Drosophila melanogaster: one gene and its partner. The protein of the gene in region 1 interacts with the protein of each later gene in a pairwise test. Each region holds a gene or a part of one and is shown on either strand. Other genes may lie near its edges.

Region 1 (6,131 bases):
TCTGGGCGGGGAAGCGCCGCGATTACAAGTCATTTGTAATATCGCCCGAGCTGATACGCTCATTTAAGTTAGTTGTTTATGTAACACATTTGTGCTGGCCCGCCATAAAACAAGATTTCTAATGGTCCCGCAGCACTTGCACTTTGCAATTGAGTGCAGTAATTTATGATAAATTGCCATTTAATCAAAAGAATAATCCCAATACCAATGCCGCCGCCAAACAATTTTTATTTTAATTAACAATATGCTAATCGGTGGGGCTCCCTTTTTCAGTTTCAGGTTCAAGAAACACTGGAACTAATTCGCAGATCGGCGAAAGAAGGAATTATTATCGGGACTTGGCAATAAAAATAATCCCCGCCAAGCTGCCAAGTGGCGATTGAATGGCGGCATCGAGCGAATCGAACATGATTGAACGGATAATTAATGGCCGGGGATTAGCGACAAGTACAACAGGCCCCGCTGGATGGATGCTGTACCGCCGCGGGCAGCGAATTAATCAGCACCGGTAGACGAAACGGGCGTGGGTGCCCAGATGGAGATACGGAGCCACACGAGTGGAGCTGGTTCTGAAAGGAGTTTGTTTGTTTGTTCGCTGGCTTGTTTGAAGCCACTCAAATCAACGCCTTCAAGGCCAAGTGGTCGAATTCGACATCCTTGCCAGAACTGCGAACTGAGCTAAGCAATCTACGCACTCATTGTCATTCCATGTCTTTCCATATCCAGTTCAGAACTTGAGTTTAGTATATGCCAAACACCAGCAGGGGCAAACGACCTGCTCGGCCAGTGGCTAAATATATCCGCGCGCATATTTCCGACTAAAATTAGCGATTCATTCAGAAAACACATGTTTAATATTCAAAAAGGCATAACAATGACAACAAACTAAAAGAAAAATGCATTCCCCAAAGGGAAAAAAAACAGCGACACACATACGCACGACTAACACGATAGAAACCATTGAAAAGAGGACAAAGAAGATTTGAAATGTTAGAGCTACGACGGATGTACGGCTATCTACTCCTGCTGCACCGCCGACTCCTCCAGATTGCAGAAGACATTGCGCATCTTGTCCAGGTCGGGCGGCGCGGTGTCCGGGTTCCGGATCCACATGATGTAGGCCTGTTTGTCGGTCCGGGTCAGCGGCTTGAAGTTTCGCGGATTCTGCGCCTCCTCGTCCTGCAGCTTAGAGTTGTAGCGCGCGTAAAGGAAGATCCGGTATCGCCAGTTGTCGAAGGTCTGCTTCCACTCGGTCACGTGCTTCACGGCACCCTGCGGCACGGCGTTCAGCAGGTTGGCCAGCTTCAGCCAGTATGGGTCCAGCGCAGGATCATTGCGACGGTGATCGTTGATGAACTGGTGCTGCTGCAGGAAGTGTACGTACAGTTCCTTCTGCCGCTTGGACATGCGCTCCTTGCGCTCTGCGGACGAGAAACAGATGAACACCATTAACTCATTAACACCATTGTTCCGTAATCGGCTAAATAATTTTAAAATTTATTAATTAATGCAAATTAATACACCTGATAACATTGGAATGCGCTCAATTGGTGTGCGCTTTGTTTATGAACATCGCGAATGCAGCCCTAATGGAAAACGGCAATTATATTATTTAAATATATTTCTTCATAAAATTAAGTTGATGTAATATAATTTTTAATATTTCTGTCTGTACATTGAAACAATGCAGCAACTGGGCAGTAAATTGAAGAAGTAAATAGGAGAATAAAGTCATCTAAAGATAAGATTTGGAATGTGGTTTGCTGACATTGCGGACAAATTAGAAACATTTCCAAAACTTAATCGCCGTAGTAAAATATTTATATCGCCACATCTCGAACATTTTATTAATCTTTAAAATTAGATTCAATGGTGCTTGGTAGTTTCTTATAAACAATAACACAATTGACTAATTGGATCGGGGTAATAATTCAAGAGAGTAACTTACGTCGAATGTTGTTTGTCGCAGTGGTGCCTATGGCTATGTTGACTCCCTGGTGCTGCTGAATCTGCTGCTGTTGCTCCTGCTGCTGCTGCTGCTGCAGGAGAGCCAGGTGGTGTTGTTGCTGCTGAATCTGCTGATGTTGCTGCTGCTGCTGGATGATGTACTCTTGCTGGATGCGCTCCTGAAATAATAAGGCAGGTCCAAAAGTATATAACACAAAAGCGTTACACATGCCGGACATGGTCAAACACACCTCATGCTGCTGCTGCTGCTGCTGTTGCAGATGTTGGTGATGCGAGGTGGGCGGAGGCGGCAGCGGCAAGGCCGTGGACAATGGGAAAGGCGGTGGTGGCAGCGGCTGCGAGTGCGGCGAGTCCGGCAGCTCGTCCTGCGTGTCGTAGTCCATCTTGGGCGAGCAGGCCTCGTAGGCGGGCAAGCCCAGCTCTGCGGAGGCAGCTCCACTGCTCTCCTTATCGATCCGATACTTCATGCTCTCCTCGTGCTCGTGCTCATGCTCAGGCTCGTGATCCTCGTCCTCGCAGGGTGGCAGCGACATGAGCGGAGTCGGCGCGGCCTCTAGCACATTGCTGGGCTGGCACAAATTGGTTGGTTCCTCGGGCGTTGGCGAATCGTTGAGCATTTTCTGGTCTGTACAGCGGCACTGGCGATTCAGCACATAGTTGTCCAGGCCGACATCGTAGACTGCAATAAATAATTATGGATTGTAGTTAGTAGATAGTATAATTTGAAATTGCATATTTCATGTCTTATCTTATCTAACATAAAAAACGCGGTTTCTTTCTCTTAAAAAGTATTCTATTTCTTAGCAATAGTTAAAGTACACATTAACAGTTTTATATTTTGCACTTTGATCTCGATTTAGTAGTCGTAGGTGTTCGTTGCCGTGGTGGTCTCGTCCAGCGGCACGAACATGTCCATTTTTTCGTAGTCCTGCGGCGTTATGTGCTTGTGGCTGGTCCACATGGCATACGCCTTCTGGTCGGTAGCTGTCAGGGGCTTGAAGTTCTTCGGATCGGTCGTTTCCGACATGCTGAGCTTGGAGTTGTAGCGTGTGTACATGAAGATGCGGTACCGCCAGGCGTCAAAGGTCTGCTTCCAGTCCTCTACGTTCTTTACGGCGCCTTGGGGAACACTATTCAGCATGTGGGCCAATTTTGCCCACAATGGTTCAGTGAGGCCATCGTGCCGGCGGTGGTTTGATAGCATGCATGGATTGTCCTCGAAAAACTTAACGTACAGCTCCTTTTGGTCCTTGGACATGCGTTCGCCGCGTTCTTTAAGAGAATTATTAAGGATTTAGTTCGGATTTCAGACTTTTGCAAGCACTTCTCTCACTTCTAAAGCGACTCATCAGACCCGGTGTGTAAGGCGACTGTTGGGAGGTATTTGGTGCATTCATCGACGGCAAAGGATGCGTGTAGCTGGGGAAGATCTGCTGACCGGGCAGCAACTGCTGCTGGTGCTGTTGCTGCTGGGCTTGGTGCTGTTCCTGGCGCGCTAGGAATCTGGAGGCCCGCTGCAGACGTTCCACCTCCGATTCGGACTCCGACTTGGGTATAATATCCATGGGGTCAATGGCCTGGGTCATCGATTCCGGCGTCCGTTCCGAGTAAGCCTGCCCCAGGCGCAGTTTGTGGGAACTATCCGTGCGTTCCGGCACCGAGTTGTTGCCCTGCTGGTCCAGTGGCGAGTCCACCGCCTCAGAACTCATACGTAGGGCCGGAGAGGTGGGCTGGGAGTCAGGCACATATTCATGGGCGTGGTGCGAGGCGCTTTCGTTTGACCGCTGCGGCAGAGGCACGTGGTGCTGGTGCTGATGAGGGTGGTGCTTCAGGACCGCCATCGAGCATGAGGGCTCGTAGGAGAGCATCTCCTTGGCGTGGCCATCGTCCAGAGCTGCAAGAGGGAGCATTTTACAATTTGGGTTTTATTACAGATGGCAATCGCAGAGACTTACAAGCGAAGCGCACGCATCGTCTACATAAACACAACTGATCTACAAACAAGACTTGACTGTGAAACTCCGGAACTCCGCGAAATCGCGACTTTTGGTGGCCCGCAGTCACTCGAACGCTTAAACGCTAATTGAAACGCGACTTAGCCGTAACTTAAACGCTATTTACCTTGACTGATCTCTATAACGAAGTTGGTGAGGTCGTGCCTCTGGGCCAGATAGTGCAGCAGCAGTTCGTCCGGGATGTTGAAGCCGATCTTCTTGTTCCGGAACTCGAAGTTGTAGATCCCGAAGGCGGCGCGCACTGTGGAGCGGGATTTGTTAGACATATTTCATTTTTGGCGACCAAATCGCTTGGGGGCTCCGTGATTTGAGCCACCTCCCCCTCTCCGACCAGACCAGTGCTTACCCACGTTCTTTAGGTCCCATATGTTTAGGTCGCGGTTCTCCTGCGGCACCCCGATCATCAGCAGCTTCTTCGTGTCGCGAAACTGAAACGGAATTATGATTCCCGATCGCAGCACCATTTTCAAAGCGCCCACACACGCGATTTATAAAAATTTTCACAAATTTCTCAAGTCCGCTTTGTGCTTGTCCTCCGTAATTGTTTTGGTCTCCGTTTATTGTCGTTCGTAAACAGCGAACTAGTTTCGAGCTCCCCGAAGTCTGGCCACACATCTGCAGTTCCGCGAATCGGAGCGGAATACGCGGCTTATAAGATTTCCTCGAAAAATATTATTTTCTCCCTTAATTTAACGCTTTATCTAAATTACGAAATCTATGCATGTGCAAATTCAATTTTTTTTTAATATATAATCTTAAATGCCAAGCAAGAACTAGTTCCAAAGACGGCTGAACAAAAATAAAAACTCTCGCCTGGTCACACAGTAAAGCTGATTTCATAGGGGGAAAAGCAAAGCAATAGGATTTCGAGTAATCCCGTCCATATGTATTGGAGTTATCCACCTACTGAGCATGCATAGGTTCTTCCAGGTTGTTTCCAGCACTTGATCCGATACAAGAGTTAGCTGCCCGCCTTCACAATGCTCGAGAACTGTCAGCGTCACCACATGCTCCTTGGACTAGGAGCCCTAACGATGGTCACCATACTCGTCCTGTTCGTGGAATCTCGTTACGCGGCAGATGGTCCTCGTCGCCGAGAGCCGCAATTCGTGATCGAGGACAACTCGACCTGCTGGCGGAATGAGAAGTACACGATGGTGCAGGAGTGCCACCCGTGCTCCGAATTCGATATAGTCAGCCGGAGCTTGGGCGTCTGCATTCACACGCACTACAAGGAGGTGCTGCGCTGCCAGAGCGGCGAGATCGTAACCAGGAGCTGCGACCGGGTGGCGCTCATCGAGCAAATGAACTTCTTGAAATTTGAGGTCTCGTGCTTTGTAATCGGATTACTTAGCTACCTGGTCAGTTATGCCCGCGATCGAGTCCTGTCCAGGCGCAACTACATGAGAATCGAGCGACAGCTAAACCGGGTCCAATAGCCCTCCGCCAAATCATCGATTCCCTTCCCCAAGTGATACTCATTGACCGTACGGAAGGTACATTATTTAATTTAGTTTAAGTACATACACTCTGGAAATACCATGTTAAAATTCATTTGCTAATACTAGGGGGTTTAATATATTGCATACTTGTGGAATGCTTGTTTTCAGGGGACAAACACAATTCGGCGTTAATAATATGCATAACATTTTGCTTCGGTAATAACAATCGCTCCTGTACTTCTGGCATCGTTTCTGACATCGTTTCAGATTCTACTGCCTGTTGTTCATATTCGTAGAAAATATCGATTAACTAATCCATTAGTTAGCAACCGCGTTTGATTTGATTTAAAACAGGCTTAAAGATTCAAATGCCTGGAATGTGTGAAATTCTTCGTTATCGTAACACCCTAGTTCCGCCAGTCGGGAATCAGGTCGGGCTCAGCTCCCATGGAGGCACTAGGCGGCATGGCGGGCGGAGCAACTGTGGGCAAGGCTGGAGGCGATGGCTGGGCGTCCAAGGTCTCTTCGCTGGTGGTGCTCGCATTGCTGCAAGCCTTCAGTGAGTTGTCCGTCATGGGCAGTGGTTTGGCCACACCAATGCGCACCACTCCTTTCGAAGCACCCTTCAAAGCCTGCACTGCCTGATCCAGCGAGGCGTTCTCCAGGTTAATGGAGTTCACAAACAAAAGTCGATCTCCGGGTATAA
Region 2 (5,472 bases), on another chromosome or scaffold:
TTTACTTTTCACCTCGATGGCCAGAGCGATAGAGCAAATAGCGATTAGGAGTTTTTTCTAGATTAAAATAATAGAGCCAGTGTGCGTTAGGCTGTCTGAGCTGTCTGGAGGTGAGGATTCAAGGATAATGACTTCATTAATTGCCATCGCTCGGACACGTAGAATATGGTTGGGTAGGCAGATCCCCGAGGATGAGGTGTGAATTTGAGGTAAGTCCGAACGAGGGCAATTACTCCATTTACTTCGTAGTCCCATAGGGACCAACACTCTCTATTCGATGGAATCGAGGGGGCAATTAACACCTTGGTTGGAGTTGTCTTCGCTATTTTGGACGTTCCAAATCATCATCTTGCATTTCGGGAGTTTTCTCTTCTTTTTTTCCGGAAACTATGCGACCCGCTCACAGCTGGATCTGAAGTTCCGAGAGCAGCAATCGGAATCGGTATCTCACCCGGGGCGAGTGTTGAGATCTCCAGCCAGGTCCGTGGAATGCGCAGCTACTAAAAGGCTCTAATGGCCCAGAGGATTTCCCATTTCCCGCTGCGTACGGAAGCGTGTCAAGGCTGCTGAATGGCCAGCGTTTCGAGTGAAAGATCATTGGAGTACGTTGTAAATTAGCATAGATATATTTTTTTATTTAAGAGCACTTGCTACTTAGGCTAATCATCTTAAACTCTAATCCTAAGTCGGTACTATTTTCTAGGCTTACATCTACGAATTGGAACTAATACATATGTTTATTGTTTAGGAGCGAGTCTGTCAGCGGTTTTCCCAAACGGAAAATGTCTGTACTGCTCCACCACAAATAAAATGTTATTTATATTTTCGTCCCCTGCTCTATGGGTATGTACATCTTTGGCGACTTGTACCATGGATCTGGTGACACCTGCTCCTGCTCCTGGAGGAGTAGGTGGTGGATCCGTGTCCCTTTGATTCTAGTACCATGAGGGATAGAACGGCTGTGGCGGCATCGTTGTGTAGTTGACCTTCGAGGGCGAAGGAAAGGCGGCGGCATTGAAGTTCTGGGGCATGAAGTGCGCCGACGAACTGGGCGGCGGATAGTGCGGATGTGCGCCTGCGTACTGCGGATGCGGATGTGCGTGCGGATGCGGCGCATGGGGATGTCCGTGATGCGAATGGGCGTGGCCTGGTGCCGGATAGGATGCATACTGCGGCGTATGCTGATACGGATGGAACATCTGGTGGGCGGTGACATCCAGAGCCTGGCTGGTCGAGCTGGTGGAGTTCAGCGAGTCCTCCGGCGAAAGTGGCGCATTGGGGCGCAGTGCCTGCATGGAGCTCCATCCGCCGTACAACTGCGACTGACTGGCCGCGATCAGGTCCACCGATTCCACTTTCAGGGCAGCCGATAGCTCCTCACTTCCAGCACTGGCATTGGCCAGCGACTGCGAGGGATCGGCTCCCGAGTTGGCCCCACTGGAGGAGGTCACACCAGCTCCACTCACCACCGCGGAAAGGCTGTTGGGTGTGGGTGGCAGTTGCCCGAAGGCGGAGGACACGGACTCGTTGGGGCTCTCGTTGCGTGGCATAGTCTGGTGGGTTTCCGTTTCGGTGCCGTAAACTGAACCCAACTGAGTCTCATAGCTGGAGACGATGATGTTCCCGGTGGGTGTGGTGTTGCCATTCTCACCCGGCATTATGTAGCTGGCTGTGTTAGCGCTGGGATTGTAGAACTGATGGTGGTGCGGTGGCGTGGTTGTAATTCCGGGCGATAGATTACTACTGGCCATTGGAGCTGCGGCGGATACGGAAATGTTGGCGTGACTGCCGTAGAAATCGTATTGCTGCTGGTACACAGTGGCTGGATCCAGGGATCCCGGCATCATGGCCAGCGGAGCCATGCTGGGCACACTTGATACCACACTGGGCAAAGAGCTGGACGCGGCGACATGGCTCACTGAGGCAGCTGCTCCGCCAGGTGCTCCGCCCGAGACCGAGGTGTGCTGCTTGCGGAGACGAGCACGCCGATTGCTGAACCACACCTGAATGCGTGCCTCCGTGAGATTGGTGCGCTGGGCCAGCTCCTCACGGGTGTAGATATCAGGGTATTGGGTGCGCTCGAAGGCGCGTTCCAGTTCGTCCAACTGGGAAGCGGAAAAGGTGGTCCTGCAGCGGCGCTGTTTGCGCTTCAAGGCGATTCCCGGCTCACTTTCACAGTCAGAGATGTCCTCATCGGAGGGCTTGCCGTTGTTGTGATGGCCACCTGAGACATCGGAGCCGCAGGAACTCGATGCTTTGGTGCCATCACCCGCCGGAGATCCAGAGGCAGAAGACATATCATTGTCCAATGGAGCATCTCGGCCGCGCACCAGGCGCGATATGGCGGACACAGATGGTGCTGTGCTCCTGTCGCAGACACCCTCGCGGATCAGCTTCTCCCTGATCTCCCACGAGAACATGCCCGGGCTACTGCGCTTGTACTCCTCAATTCGGTTCTCGATTTCGGGCGTGGCTATCCTCGGCTTGGAGCCACCAATTACGCCTGGTCTAATGGAGCCAGTCTCCTGGTAGCGATTCAGGATCTTCGATACGCAGCCATGGGACACACGTAGCTGTCTGGAGATCACACAGGGCCGAATGCCATCGGCGGCCATCTCGACGATTTTAAGACGAATATTGTTGGGCAAAGGACGACCGTTGATGAAAACTCCACCTAGTTGATTGACGCGCCCCTGGCCGCTGTTCATGTCTGGAATGAGGAAGATGAGAAAATGGAAATTTTAGAGGCTTTTCCAATACTAGCTAGGTAGAGCGGAGCGCGTGTCACTTGATTTACGACACCTTCGACCGGAGTTGACTTCCCGGGAAGACGGGAAACTCGGAGCTAAGGTCGAAGGTCAGAGGCGCGCGACTCTCCCGCCGGGCAACTAATGGCCATTAGAGAGTAGCCGACGGCCTTGGCCCAAACTGAGATCTTTAGCGGGATCTTGAGCCGTCGGTTTAGAAATGAAGATATATGGAAATGATCAACTAGGCTTTGATATTTAGTAAGTACATTGTGAAAGTGACTTATATTCCAAAGTGACTTTTGCTGGATGTTGTATATAAGCGATAGACACTCACCTTGCATGGTAGAATATCCATTGAAGAAGGGTCTGTGCATTGCGGCAGCAAAGGCGGTTACGGTCATAGTTTCTGGAGGAGCTCCAAGATGCGTAAGCTTGTCCCGGCACAAAACCGGTGTTAACTCAGTCTCGAAGTTCGTATATCACTTGATTATATCACTTTAGTTCTGGACAATGTCTGGACACTTTGTCAAAGTCATAAGTAAGCGTTGCGAGGTATTGATTAACCGATTAGTTGCACTTCGAATATCTAAGTATCTGTTAGTTCGCAATCTCGATGGGAAAGATGAAACGGAGGCGAAGGCGAAGACGAGAACGAGGACGAGATGCGGTGTGGCTCGTTGCGCAGTCTGTGCCTGACTGACTTCACCATCCGAACGTCGGCCAAGATCGTTGCCTTTCTGTGAAGCCACGGCCCAGACGTCGGCCATATCCCACAGTCACTTGGCAGGTAACCACTACGCGGACCAATCGCAGCGCTCTCCACAACGGCATCTCGCTCTGGCTCACTCGACCCATTTAGCAACCGTCTCGCTCGCCGCCAGGGGGCGTCTCAGCTGTGAAAAGCACCGTGGAATGGGAGAAGAGCAGAGAACTTTGGATTGGGGGGTATACGAGTACAAGGGAACCACAATACTTCTGCTCCAGATCCTGGGCATTCCATCCATTCAAATCCTATGCATAGTTTCGACTTTCACTGGTTTCCGGAAATTAATTAATGCCGTAAGTAGCACGATACAATTTAAGCGTTACATATCCTTTATGGATACCTTGTTATAAGGATAAGGGAATACTGGACTTGAGAGATCAGTCTGCCTGGCGTTTGCTTTTCACTCTTCACTTGAGATATTCTTTGGGGTTCCACTTGGCCCCGGAAATCAAATTAGATATTCACTGGAACCCATAATGCAATCGAGTACGCGTTTAACACTCTTTACAAGCGTAATATATCCTTTATTGATACCTAATTATGGCTTTCGTTTATATTGCCACTCGAGTAGCCTCTTTTCTCTCAGTTATTTATTGCTTTCGGAAACGGTGAACAAAGTTCTTCATTTCAAATTGTAGGTTTTATTTTAATTATCAGTATATTACATATAAATATAAAAGTGTGTGTTTAGAACTATCTATTGATAGATCATAGTAAATTATTTTCAAACAAAATAAGTGAGATATTAAATATATAACACCATATTGGATGCAGGGAAACATATTCAGTTGAATACAAAATCAGCGACTATTGATCAGTTTATGTTTCCAACTTTCCAATTTAACATTTAACAAAGTGACTTCATCCATATCCTTACCATGACCGCATCCACATCCTTGTCATGCTTTTGCCACCATTATGCTCCGCTGCCTCCGGCTTATAACCATAGTTTCGACCCTTTTCTATGGGCCGTCGTGGGTTTGATTAATTGTAGAATTTCACGCAACAGAGACCCTCGAAAAGAAGTTAAACAAAACCGATGGAAAAGAAAAGAAAGCGCCGAGTGGGATAACAACAAAAACCTGAAAGCCGCGAACAATAGAGAGCGCCAAGTGTTGCAAGAATTAATGATGGACCCCAACCTCCGTTTGAAACGCCAGCGAGGAAATTGACCCACAGAGATGTGACGAATGTGCATGCTCCTCGGCAGGATCCGTATCCAAGTGCCGGAGTGCAAGATCCAGATGAGATGCAGATCAAGGACAACGGAGGCCGCAAGGCAACAAAGGTTGGGTTTCTACTGCTCGGTGCGGCTGCCCGTTGGGCGTTTGGTTAAGCAAACCCAACGGGAGGAGTTCGCAGTACCAGGCACCCAGTATGGAATCGCTACATTTGCGCCTGGCAGGATAGCAAAAATCCCCGATGACCTTGAGCCCATGGCCACGATGGCAGACTAGCAAGTATTCTGTGATAATTAAATTATCCTCAAACATATGTAACTCGAATCAAATGGAGAGGCGCCTCAATCCACCATCGATACCCACCATTCGATTTGATCCTCGTTGATTTCACAATTTGGCAGGACAATGAGCGCTGAATAGGCAACTCATATAACGCTAATTTCGCGCTATCAACGCTTGGAAAAAGGCGATTCTGCTATGGGATCGTCACTTTGGGTAGAGAAAGGTCCTGAATCCTGGCCGAAATGCAGGAAGCAGTAGGAGGCATCGGTGCCATAAACGCTGCAAGTCAGCTTCGCTCGCATTTCCACGAATCGGCCAGCGGGAAAATGAAGACACATCCGTGCAATGAATAAGGATGCTAAGAGACTTTTTATGATGCCACCCAGGGTGCTATGAATGAAAATCCACCTCGCGATCCTCAACTTTCGCCAGCGAATGCTTCGTTTACCTGCGACCCTACTACACATCTCCAAGACTCGAATCTCATCCGATT

What was found.
Region 2: the proteins of CG42676 (region 1) and prd interact in a two-hybrid assay, tested with the Drosophila melanogaster proteins (one large-scale study listed by BioGRID).

What each region holds. Positions count from the first base shown.
Region 1 is NT_037436.4:1,801,526-1,807,656, reverse strand, and holds CG42676 (uncharacterized protein), read right to left. Parts: upstream 4,551-6,131; 5' UTR 4,448-4,550; coding exon 4,330-4,447; intron 4,225-4,329; coding exon 4,090-4,224; coding exon of another isoform or gene 4,082-4,089; exon of another isoform or gene 3,924-4,081; intron 3,863-3,923; coding exon of another isoform or gene 3,302-3,862; intron 3,241-3,301; coding exon of another isoform or gene 2,825-3,240; exon of another isoform or gene 2,747-2,824; intron 2,648-2,746; coding exon 2,199-2,647; intron 2,127-2,198; coding exon 1,949-2,126; intron 1,615-1,948; exon of another isoform or gene 1,422-1,614; coding exon 1,018-1,421; 3' UTR 737-1,017; downstream 1-736. Other genes in the region: JTBR, read left to right, coding at 4,964-5,422; patj, read right to left, coding at 5,833-6,131.
Region 2 is NT_033779.5:12,082,379-12,087,850, forward strand, and holds prd (paired), read right to left. Parts: upstream 3,450-5,472; 5' UTR 3,152-3,449; coding exon 3,085-3,151; intron 3,001-3,084; exon of another isoform or gene 2,765-3,000; intron 2,711-2,764; coding exon 936-2,710; 3' UTR 617-935; downstream 1-616. UniProt on the Drosophila melanogaster protein: Pair-rule protein expressed in a segmentally repeating pattern to define the polarity of embryonic segments. Capable of sequence-specific DNA-binding.